Mus musculus: one gene and its partners. The protein of the gene in region 2 interacts with the protein of the main gene of each other region in a pairwise test. Links are inferred from orthologs where the notes say so. Each region holds a gene or a part of one and is shown on either strand. Other genes may lie near its edges.

Region 1 (3,721 bases), on a different chromosome or scaffold from region 2:
TCCCTCAAGCTCTATCCCAAATCCTCCCCATGGCAATCACTTCTAACACTGCTCCCTCAATACTCACCCTCAAATCTATTATCTCTGTAGAGTCTTATCTGAGGTTTGTTTCCTTCTAACTAAACTGCATTTTATTCATAAACACCTTATAAAAATTACCTAGCACAATTCTCTATATTACAAATTGTTCAAGGACAAAAAAAATCAAATCAAATCAAATCAGTGGTTCTCAGCTTTGTTCTTCCCTGTATTGTTTAACCTTTCAAAACATATCAAGCTCTCCAGAATATCTGCCAACTGGAGACATGCTTTCCCGGGGTTCTTCTCCAGGTTGGTCATCAAGGCAAAATTCAGCTAATTTGTGCATCAGTGTACAAATTAGTCAACCTACCTACCTCTTCTATTTCTGTCTTGTGCACGAAAAAAGCACTACTGTCCCAATTTCAAAAGTTCTCTTATTAAAAGGATATGCATGAGAGGTCTCCAATAAATGTCTGGTCACTCTCTCAAACCGTATCAAAAAAAGGAAAACTCCCACATCTATGCTTCCATAAAACCCAAATTTTCTGGGCTGGAGAAATAGTTCTGTGGTTAACAGCACTTGCTATTCTTGCAGAGGACCCCAGAACCCAGTTGAGTTCCCAGCACCCACATGGTAGCTAACAACTCCAGTTACAGGAGATAACCCCTGACCCCTTCTTCCAGTCTCTGGACAATGCATCCCCATAGGTGGTATACATACATACAGGCAGAACACAATTCTTTGTTGTGTGTAAGAGCTGCAAGACGGAATAAATATTCCTTTGTTTCAGAATTAAACTGATAGTTTACACAAAAATCTGGTGATTCAGAACTGCATGGGTAAATAAACCCCAAAGTGTTAACAATAGCCATCAATATATGGTATTAAAGTCTGCTATTACTATCCTAGTTGACATCTCTTGAATGTAAAAAAATTCAGGCCAAAGAGCTGCCTCCCCTAAGCTAAACAGGGACTGGAACTTAAGATCACATAGATGTTAACAGAACAAAATGGCATCTTTACAAAACAGAGTTTTCTGCACTTCACTACCAACTGATTGCTTCTGACCCCTAACATCTGTATCTATCAGCCATGATTTTGCTCAGATAATCTCTTTTGTTTTAGTAAAACAGGTAGGTTTTACACAACAGGGAAAAATGTTCTAGGTTCCATTGATTCGATGTGATAAAGAAATGAAGGCTAGAAGGGAAAGCCCCTTTTTCCCTTCTCTTATGAAACCCTGCATAAAAGACACCTAAAAAGATCCAGGGCAAGCCTATCAGCTACCAGCTGCCTCATATAAAGGTGGCATGTGAAGAGCAAACCCAGCAGCTACTTCATCATCAGTCTATAACTACCTATCAATGTGAACAGGAGTCACAGTTTGCAGCATTAATATCTGACACTCTATGGCATGCTATTTAAATTTTAGAAACTTGCTTTATTGAATAAGAGATCTGGGCAATGAATGACTCAAGATTTAAAAGTGCCCCCTCTAATAAGGGTGAATCATAGCAGTTAACATCCCGGTTGGGACTGGATAGTGCAAAACCTGGAAAGCCTTCCTTGCCCATCCACACCAGAAATGCTTTCATTTCCATACACCGGACTAAAGTGAGGCAACAAATAGAAAACAAACAAACAAACACTATTAAATAGTGAAATTTGACCAGGGCATGGTATTCTTCAAATTATCTGTATCCTTTTCATCCAGTGAACTCATCCACCCACCCACCCCCACACCTCTTTAGCAAGGAAAGGCTCAACATATTCTTACATGAAAAATAAAACATGTCTAGATTTTTCACTCCTAAATCTTGGGGGGCTGGGGAAATTCTAGCATCTCTATGGTAAAAGTCCCCATGCCTTCTACGACATGAAAGAACTTACAGATCTCAGGACCACTCTCCTGGCACAAGGTTAAATAGGTCTTTTTCAGTCTTGTGCAAGCCTACGCGGCTACTCCCCCCAAGTTTTTGTACCCCAGAGCTTGGGAAAAAAAGAGTTACCCACCCCCGAGAAAGCTCTGAAACAGGTAAGAAGGAAGCCTGGGGCTCAAATCACAAACTCTCTATCCCACAGGTTTCTCCCCATCGGGAACACCACACAAAAGGGGTGTCGCTCCCGCCGCCCTACTCCCTCACTAATGCCGGCGCCAACTCACCAGGACCGTGGTGCAGATGGACCTCAGCTCCGACTCCACTTTCTCCCGATAGTCCTTGATCAGCTGCAACTTCTTGTCAGAGGTGTCGGTCTTCTGCTCAATGCTCGAGATGACCCTCCAGGCGGACCTGCGGCCCCCTACCACGTTTTTGTAGGCCACCGACAGCAGGTTGCGCTCCTCGTTGGACAGCTCGGCGCCCTGCTCCGTCACGGCTTTCATGCAGGTGGCCATGTCGTCGTAGCGCTCGGCCTGCTCGGCCAGCTTGGCCTTCTGGATCAGCTCGGTCTTCTCCATGGCGAGCGAGGGCGAGCGCCGAGCCGGATCCGGAGTCCTCCTGAGAGCCGCGAGGGGCGGGGCGGGGCGGCGCCGGCGAGGACAAAAAGGAGCGAGGAGAGAGCGCGTCAGACAATGCAGCCGGACGCCCGCTTTGTCTCAGCGCACGAGGCGGCGCGTCCTCCGGCCTCTCACGGGGCCGCCGCCTTCCGCCCGCGCCCTCCGGCCCGCCCGCCGCGCCTCCCCAAGGCCGGAGCGCGGGCCCCACCCGGCCCAAGATGGAAGCGGCCGTTGGTGCCGCACCTTCCCGTCCCAGCCCGAACCTCAGGCGCGCGGTAGCCTAGCAGATATGAGGACCGTGCTCCGCCAACCCGGCCTCGGTACCTCGCGGCGGCTGTTGCAGCCGCAGTCCCAGAGCTGTGTCCGCACTCACCTTCTAGTCTCCGCAGCCGCGACGCGAGTCCCACCACTTTGATCTGCTTTGGGCTTTAGCCGAGGACCCTCCCGTCTCAGCCTAGCACGGAGCCGACGAGCTCGCCACCGACCAATAGAACGCTGCACCTCCCCAAGGAGTCCCGCCTCTAGCTTCTCCTCTGTCCAATGAGGGGCGAGCGCGCGGAAGGGGGCCCAGGGGGCGGGGCGGGAAGCGAAGCGGAGGCTCCGAGGGTGGGTCGGCTCGGGTAGGTTCGGTTGGCCCGCAGGCTGCGGCTTCGGCCACGGGGTTTCCTCCAATTAGATCCAGGGTGAATGGACGTCACTGTTGCCATGGCGATGCTTTTCCAACTCCCCTCATCCTCCCCGCCAGCCCGGCACTCCTGGGTGCGGCACGGGACCGGAGGTGCTTTCGACCTCCGAGGCTGCGACCGCGTGTCCTGTAGCAGCAACCACTGCAGATGGGGCGTTGCAGCTCTCGAGCTGCTGCGGCTGCAGCTGGACTTGGCAGGGGTGAGATAATTAGCCCTTTTGATGCACAAGCGCCTTCCTTTCTTCTACCTTCCTGTTCTTGACAAAGGTTTGTATCCCCAAGACATTAAAATGCAACCCTTACAATTTTCCTGTTTCGGCTACAAATTAGAAATATCCTGATCCCCATTAAAAAAGGATTCGTTCCCAGAGAAAGTGGCTTAATTCAAGTTTTCACACAGGCACCCGAAAGCCAGCAATTCCCTTATGGAAAGGTAGATTCAGGAGATCTGGGCAGGACTGCGTGGCAGCGTCAGGTAAGCATTTCTTTAAAACGGGGAAATGACATTAAGCACGAT
Region 2 (3,747 bases):
CATGGCCGTGAGACCTCTGCTCCTTTAATCTTTGCAAGCTGTATGAAGGGGAAAGCAAGACTTCCCCTGATTGATAGGGCGCTGTTTCTAGAGTTCCTGGGTGCACACTGGCCGAGTAGCTAATGATTCTGCACCTCTTGATAAATGAATGTGGTGGGGTGGGGTGGGGCTAGGGTAGGGTGAGATGGGGTGGGGTGGGGTGGTAGGGTAGGGTAGGGTAGGGTGGGGTGGGGTAGGGTAGGGTGGGGTGAGATGGGGTGGGGTGGGGTGGTAGGGTAGGGTAGGGTAGGGTGGGGTGGGGTGGGGTAGGGTAGGGTGGGGTGAGATGGGGTGGGGTGGGGTGGTAGGGTAGGGTAGGGTAGGGTGGGGTGGGGTAGGGTAGGGTGGGGTGAGATGGGGTGGGGTGGGGTGGTAGGGTAGGGTAGGGTAGGGTAGGGTGGGGTGAGATGGGGTGGGGTGGGGTGGTAGGGTAGGGTAGGGTAGGGTAGGGTGGGGTGGGGTAGGGTAGGGTGGGGTGAGATGGGATAGGGTAGGGTGGGGTGGGGTAGGGTGGGGTGGGGTAGGGTAGGGTGGGGTGGGGTGGGGTGGGGAGGGGTGGGGTGGTCTAGGGCAAGGGTACAGAGGAGAAGAAAACAAAGTCTGAGTCCTAAACCTGTGGACGACTTAAGCATAAAGCCTCGTGATCATGAACTCTGAAGGGACATGAGTGAGCCTGTGTCTCTGTCCCTTCAGCCCCTTTTCTGAATAGTGATGACCCTTTCACTGTGATGGCGCCATTATTTGTAAACATTGTGCTTTGCTGGTCAGAGTTCTGCTGACGGAAGAGGAACATGGTGTCAGTCTGTATGTCTAATTAGTCACACCCCGGTCTTTCAGTCAATAAAGACAAAACAAAAACCAAAAAAAAAAAAAAACCTGAATTCAAGTTACCCAAATAGCAGTAATAGTACCAACCAAGGAAAAACAGCATCTAAAATCCATGTGAGCACTTGAAACACAACAGATGGCCGCTAAAGCCTCCAAGAGCTCCGTGGTGCCACCACTCCTGTGACATCAGTCTCTTGAAAAACACCCAGTATGTATCCCAGCTACCACCCCTGGGTGCCCTCCTCTTACCTACTACTGAGCATGTGAAGACATGGTGGGAGTCAGGGATTATGACATAAGCAATGTCCACAGGCTGAAATAGGTAACGCCAGCTCAGAGGAGGACCACCACCTGTGAAGGCCTCATAAACTGGCCAACTTCCTGCCACAATTCCCAAACTGCCAGCCTCACGAGAGTGGGCAAGGGTCCCTTTGGGAGAGAAGTGGCCACAATAATCTGGTAGAGAACATTGTCAAAACTCTAGAGGCCTTGTACCAGAACTAGGAGCCATGGAGACGGCTATGTGTGTCTGTTCTCCCTGCTGTACCTGGCAGAGATGCTGCCCCCGGCTGTTCTCCTGCCTGTGCTGCAAGTTCATCTTCACCTCCGAGCGGAACTGCACCTGCTTCCCCTGCCCCTACAAGGATGAGCGGAACTGCCAGTTCTGCCACTGCACCTGTGCAGAGAACCCCAATTGCCACTGGTGCTGCTGCTCCTGGGCCAATGACCCCAACTGTAAGTGCTGCTGCACGGCCAGCACCAATCTGAAGTGCTACTACTACGAGAGCCACTGCTGCCGCAATGTTACCATCACATTCAGAAAGGGTCGCCTTCGAAGCATCGTCACCTCGTAAGTACTGCATGAGTGCTGGCCATCCGTCGTTTGGCTATGTTGGCTCAAAATAACTGGAGAACATGTGCCAGCTGTGGGTACCCCAGAACAGGCCAGTGCTTCCTAGAGTATACTCTACATGGGAAACAAAAAAACAAACAAACAAACAAACAAAAACAATGGTAATTTTGTAGCAGTTAAACAGCCAAGTTCCTTTACCGATGTGAATGCATGCTACATGTACCCTTTGACCCCAAGAGCTCTCACCTTGCAAACAAGTGATGGCCCTCAAGAAACTTTGCCAGCCACTGTTCATGTATCCATCCCTCTCCTCACTCTGTGCCAGCTGGACTCAGGAAAATATTTAGCTGGGAGATACTAAGTTGCCCAAGACTAAGCAGCTAGGAAGGGGGTAGAGTCATGACTTGAATCCAGAGCTAGGGCAAGGGTCCAAAATTTAAAAAAAAACAAAAAGTCATGACAAAATGGAGACCCTTATATGGTATAGGCTCCATAGCCTGTTAGATGATCTGAAAAATATAAACTGTTCTTCATCCCCTTCCTGTAAACTGCAGCATTTACCAGGTGAGTACGGACTTCTAGGAGCCGCTTTTGACCATAGGTAGCAACCTACAGAAGTACCCTGAGCTGACAGCCACCCTTTCTTTCCCCTCCAAAGTCATGACTGTCAGGTTCTCAGTCACTCAGTAAAGTGGCTACCCCACAGGCTAGCAAGCTGCTCTTTTTAAGTCACATGTCAGGGACATCAGGAGCCAGGGGAGATTTCACAGGGAAGGGAAGATCACAGCTAGTGCTTTAGAGTCGTAGACATCAGCAGCTCCCAAATTCAGAAGTGCATATAAATCCCCTGGGGACCTTTAAAAATAAACGCTCCTGCATGCTCTCCACACCTCAGCATTCTCTTTTCCATTGATCTTGGGGTACAACGTGGGCTTCAGAACTGTAAGAACTCGATCCCCATCCGGTGATTCTAACAGGGAGAACTGGAGTCATCAGCGTGGGACCTAGAGGCTTGGAAGGCAGATGTGAGAACGAGCAAGACTTAGCAGGGAGTGGGCTGTGCAGTGGAGCAGAGGCAGGGCAGGAAGGCAAGGCTGTGGGCCTTGGTGGCTGCTTTAGCATGGAAATCTGTGGGCAGCAGACACCCTGTTTGTACTTCAGTGCCAGGCAGTCAGCTCTAACGTACTGGTGCTTGCCTTCCAACCCCCCTCTCCTGGTCTCCAAACCCCTTCCCTCCCAATGCTGTTCAGTGGCCTCACTTTTTCTTCACTCTGGTCTAATCTAGCCTTCCTGGATTCATTCTTTTCCTCAGTCCCTTTCTCATAACTACTCCAGTTCCTCGGGCCATTAACAGAGTTCTCTTAGCCCTGCCCATTCTCCACACAGTATCTCCTTTCTCCCTCCTTCCCTCTTTCTGATCGCTTCTACTCCCTCCATGTATTATACACTGACTCCAAGTCTTACTTTTCTTATCAGAGAAACTCATCTAGGTACAACATGTACTCTTGACTTGTGACTTCAGGTGACCCTTCTGGTACTAAGCAAGAGGCTTGGACACAGAAAAGAAATAGGACCAAAAACAGTGAGGCTGTAAGCCTAGATCTCAGCATCCAAGACCCAGGGATAAGCCAGCTCTCAGGTTGCCTAAGGTTATGCGGAGACACTGTATCTCAGGGCCACCCTAGGAAGCTCCTTTGACTGTCAGTGATCTGAGGCATGGGTTCCTTGGCCAAGAAGGAGACAAAGAGAAAGAGAAATCAGAAAGGGAAGGGGTCAGAAGAGAACACTGCCCAATGTCAAGTCCAGGACCTTACTATGAACAGAAAGACTCGAGAATAGCCAAAGATAGTGCATCGGCTTGCATCTCCATTCCCACAGCAGAGTCGCTTCTTTCCTAAACTGCTTTTACTCTGATTGCAGCTTCTCATACCATGCACTTGAATTGCACAAGCATAGTCTCTTCATTTGTAGTTCTTGCCATTGAATCCATGAGGGTGACCTCCAGTAGACAAATAGAGACCCTTAAC
Region 3 (3,747 bases), on a different chromosome or scaffold from region 2:
ATTGGGAATCACCACAACAGCATTAGGAAGGTTGAGAAGCACTGATTTAAGAGATCAGGCATCCTACACACTTTTTCTACGCGTACCCCTTCTTCTAGATCTCTCCAATAAAGGGCAGCCTACCTAGATCCACATGACTTTGTGTAGAATATAATGGTCATGGTCACTCTTCAAGGCAACCTTTCTCTGATCCAGATCCTTAGTAAGCCTCCATCAATTCCCATGGTTTGCCTCTAGGCCAGCAGTTCAGAACCTCTGGGGTCGCTATCCCTTTGGATCTCACATATCAGATATCCTGCATAACAAATATTTATATTTTAATTTATAGCAATATTGAAATTACATTTATGAAGTACAACACAATAATTTTATGGGTGGGGAGTCACCACAACATGAGGAACTGTATTAAAGGATTGCAGCATTAAGGAGGTTGAGAAATAGTGCTCTAGGCTTTGTACACTTGTCTAGGTCTCTAAGGTCACACCAAGCTTAGAGACTATTCTACTCAGCCAGAGAAGACCTCTCCCCCCAGAATTCCTCAGGGCCCAAGGTAGAACAGTGAGTATGGCAGGTACAAGGTGTACAGATCTACATGCATCACAGGGCAGGCAGGCAGGCAGGCAGGCAGGCGCCCTCTGATTGTGTGCATTGGCATACCCTGGACCTTTGGAAAGCTGCTTGATCCTGTAGTGCTGGTGGCCACTTGGCCCAGTGCTGGCCCCATTTCCTCGCGAATGGAACTAGGCATTAGAGAAGACGACGGTGGGAATGGGCCTGTGCAGGTGTGCAGGCCAGGGTCATGGAGACTGGGAAGACCAAAGGAGATGGGTAGGGAGTGCCAGGGCTCTGTGGGTGTCTATGTTAGGTGATGAGAGCCCTGTCTGACAGCATACAAAGAGCTCTCAGCAGCGTTAGGCGCTCTGGAAGGGTTCGCTCTCAGGATTGCTTTACACTGCTGTGGATCACACTGTGGCTGAGAATCCTAGGCACTGGAACACCGGGGGAATAAAATCAGGAATGAAGCCAGTAACAAAAGTATGTGAGATCTCACAGGTTGGGAAATCTCACAAGCCGGTTTTGGTCAAATCACTTGCCTCATCCCTAGTAAGTTGCGCTCTAAAGCATCCTCTAGTGAGGTCAGCCAGCTCCGCCCCTCGGCGGCCTAGCTCTCAAAGGAAGTCTCAACCGCTGCCGCACGAGTTCTGAAAGCTCCGCCTTCTCCCTGTTCGAGCCAATCTCTCACAAGCGTTACGTTTCTGTTTGCCAGCCCAGCCTGTTCCCTCAGCTAGACCGGTCTGCACCGGCCGTTCTGGCTAGTTTGGGCCTGCCCTGAGGAGCGCGCGCAACCTGCGTAGCCGCGGCTGTGACGCAAATGTGACGGCGGCGTGACGCGCCCACAGCCGCTCTTGAGGCTCTGGCGCTTCTTCTTCTAGGCTCCGAGCGGTTGGTTTCTTGGGCCCTGTCTGTAGGCCCCGGCCGCCCCTGGCGTTCAACACCGCTTCCAGGTGCCGGCCTTGTCTGCCATGGACGACTATGCGGTTTTGTCCGATACTGAGCTGGCCGCAGTGCTACGCCAGTACAACATCCCTCATGGGCCTATTGTGGGTATGCTGCACCCGGTGGCGCTCAGAACCTCTCTTGGTCCACTGCTTTCCCGCGCTCCTCCCTGAGCGTTCTCCCCACCTCTCCCTCCCCTCAAGTCCCCTCCCCGTGTTCCCTTGTGCTCTTGGGGTGCTCGGCTCACGCCCTCTGACCGCTTCGCACCCTGTGTCTGGGCAGGTTCCACTCGCAAGCTCTACGAAAAGAAAATCTTCGAGTACGAGACCCAGAGAAGGAGACTCTTACCCCCCAACTCGTCATCTTCTTCATTCTCCTATCAGTTCTCAGGTGAGCCCTTAACTGCAGAGCCCCAAAGAGCAGCTTGGGGCACACGTCTTAGGGAGGGAGGGTGTGGCCGAAGCTATTGAGGGAGTAGGGGGAAGGCTGGAGATCGAATGGTCCTGTCCCTCCTCCTTCACATGCAGACTTGGATTCAGCCGCCGTGGACTCAGACATGTATGATCTGCCCAAAAAAGAAGACGCCTTACTTTACCAGAGCAAGGGTAAGGCAGGTATAGGGTGGGCACTGATGTTTTTATCCCATGCTTCCGGGATTTGGGCACAGGGAAACCCCAGACCTCCCTCACCTCCTTGTACCAGTTCTCAGTGGCTTCAGAGGGGAGAAACTGACACAGCACACACAGGCTGGGGAGGGAGAAGAGGAGGCCAGTTAAGGGGCACCACTTTTTCCTCTACCACTGTTTTCCTCCCCAAGACTATAATGATGACTACTATGAGGAGAGTTATTTGACCACCAAGACATACGGGGAGCCTGAGTCTGTGGGCATGTCCAAGAGCTTCCGCCAGCCGGGGACCTCACTTGTAGATGCTGATACCTTCCATCACCAGGTGAGTTGGCTGGTAGGTATACCTGGGGTGCAGCCTTAGGGAATTCTAGGTTTGGATAGGTGCAGAGAGTGGATCTTAGGCTTTCAAATCTGGTTAGGGTCAGCATACAGCTGTCGGGTTAAAAATTCTATGTTGGAACCTTCAAAACTATTGGATTTGGGGATGCTCAGCAGAAGAGTATTTACCTATGGTTTCATCTCCAGCAGCACATAACAAATGTTTTGGGGTTTTGGCTTTTTTAAAAGATTTAATTACTTTAATTATACATATGTGTGGCCAATTTTTGTTAGTTTGTGGGTATTTCCCCCCCCCCACTTCACCCCCAGTAATGAAAAATTCCCAGAATTCCAAATATCACACAATTGTAGAAACTATCTGAAACTCACAGAAACACACCTTTGCTAAAAGCATGAGGCAACTCATAGTTAGCTGCTGTGAAGCAGCCCCATATTCCACACCTAAGATTAAAACAAAAACATATTCTTACAATATTTCTGTGTTTCTTAAAAAAGCCAAAATTCCAGAATTCTCACATACATGTCTGTGGGTAGTATGCATGAGTGCTGGCACCTACAGAGGTGAGAATTGTCATATTCCCACTAGAGCTAGAGCTACAGGTAGTTGTAAACTGCCTGATGTGTGTGCTGGAAATTGACCTCAGGTACCTAGGAAGAATAATATGTGCTCTTAACCAGTGAACCACCTCTTCAGCCCACAAACTTTTTTGATCAGAGAATATGTAACAGCTCCTGCACTCTAGTAATTAATCTACGATATAGATTTAAGCCTCCTGAGAATCCAGGGGAATAAAAGGATGCTGGAACAAAGTCAACAGGGTTAGTAACTGAGCAGCAAGGCCCCACAGATAAAGAGGCTCCACATACTCAGAATGGGGGAGGGGGGGGCAATTTTCTGGTCCCTATGATATGATTAGAGCAGGCTAGCCAGAGACATTTAAGGAAAACCATTCTTCCCCATTTCTAATCCTAATTATTCTGCAGGTGCGTGATGACATTTTCTCTTCTTTAGAAGAGGAAGGCAAGGATAGGTGAGTAGTGAACATATGTAGGGACAGGGACAAATTCGAGTCTCAGACTCTCCTGCCTACCTGTTGCCTTCTTTTGCCACAGGGAGCGCCTCATCTATGGCCAAGACAGTGCCTACCAGAGCATCGCACACTACCGCCCCATTTCCAATGTCTCCAGGAGCTCTCTGGGCTTATCATATTATCCTACATCCTCCACCTCTTCTGTGTCCTCCTCTTCATCTTCTCCCTCTTCATGGCTTACCCGACGTGCC

The links. The genes of interacting proteins can lie anywhere in the genome.
Region 1: the proteins of Trim42 (region 2) and Ywhaq interact in binary tests that used the Homo sapiens proteins (3 or more experiments, as listed by UniProt). The two-hybrid records come from large-scale screens. The link is inferred for Mus musculus from reciprocal best matches to the Homo sapiens genes TRIM42 and YWHAQ.
Region 3: the proteins of Trim42 (region 2) and Emd interact in binary tests that used the Homo sapiens proteins (3 or more experiments, as listed by UniProt). The two-hybrid records come from large-scale screens. The link is inferred for Mus musculus from reciprocal best matches to the Homo sapiens genes TRIM42 and EMD.

What each region holds. Positions count from the first base shown.
Region 1 is NC_000078.6:21,414,612-21,418,332, forward strand, and holds the start of Ywhaq (14-3-3 protein theta), read right to left. Parts: upstream 2,826-3,721; 5' UTR 2,481-2,825; coding exon 2,187-2,480; intron 1-2,186. UniProt on the Homo sapiens protein: Adapter protein implicated in the regulation of a large spectrum of both general and specialized signaling pathways. Binds to a large number of partners, usually by recognition of a phosphoserine or phosphothreonine motif.
Region 2 is NC_000075.6:97,367,474-97,371,220, reverse strand, and holds the start of Trim42 (tripartite motif-containing protein 42), read left to right. Parts: upstream 1-1,262; 5' UTR 1,263-1,376; coding exon 1,377-1,717; intron 1,718-3,747.
Region 3 is NC_000086.7:74,253,429-74,257,175, forward strand, and holds the start of Emd (emerin), read left to right. Parts: upstream 1-1,258; 5' UTR 1,259-1,523; coding exon 1,524-1,605; intron 1,606-1,779; coding exon 1,780-1,887; intron 1,888-2,024; coding exon 2,025-2,102; intron 2,103-2,314; coding exon 2,315-2,448; intron 2,449-3,449; coding exon 3,450-3,496; intron 3,497-3,578; coding exon 3,579-3,747. UniProt on the Homo sapiens protein: Stabilizes and promotes the formation of a nuclear actin cortical network. Stimulates actin polymerization in vitro by binding and stabilizing the pointed end of growing filaments. Inhibits beta-catenin activity by preventing its accumulation in the nucleus.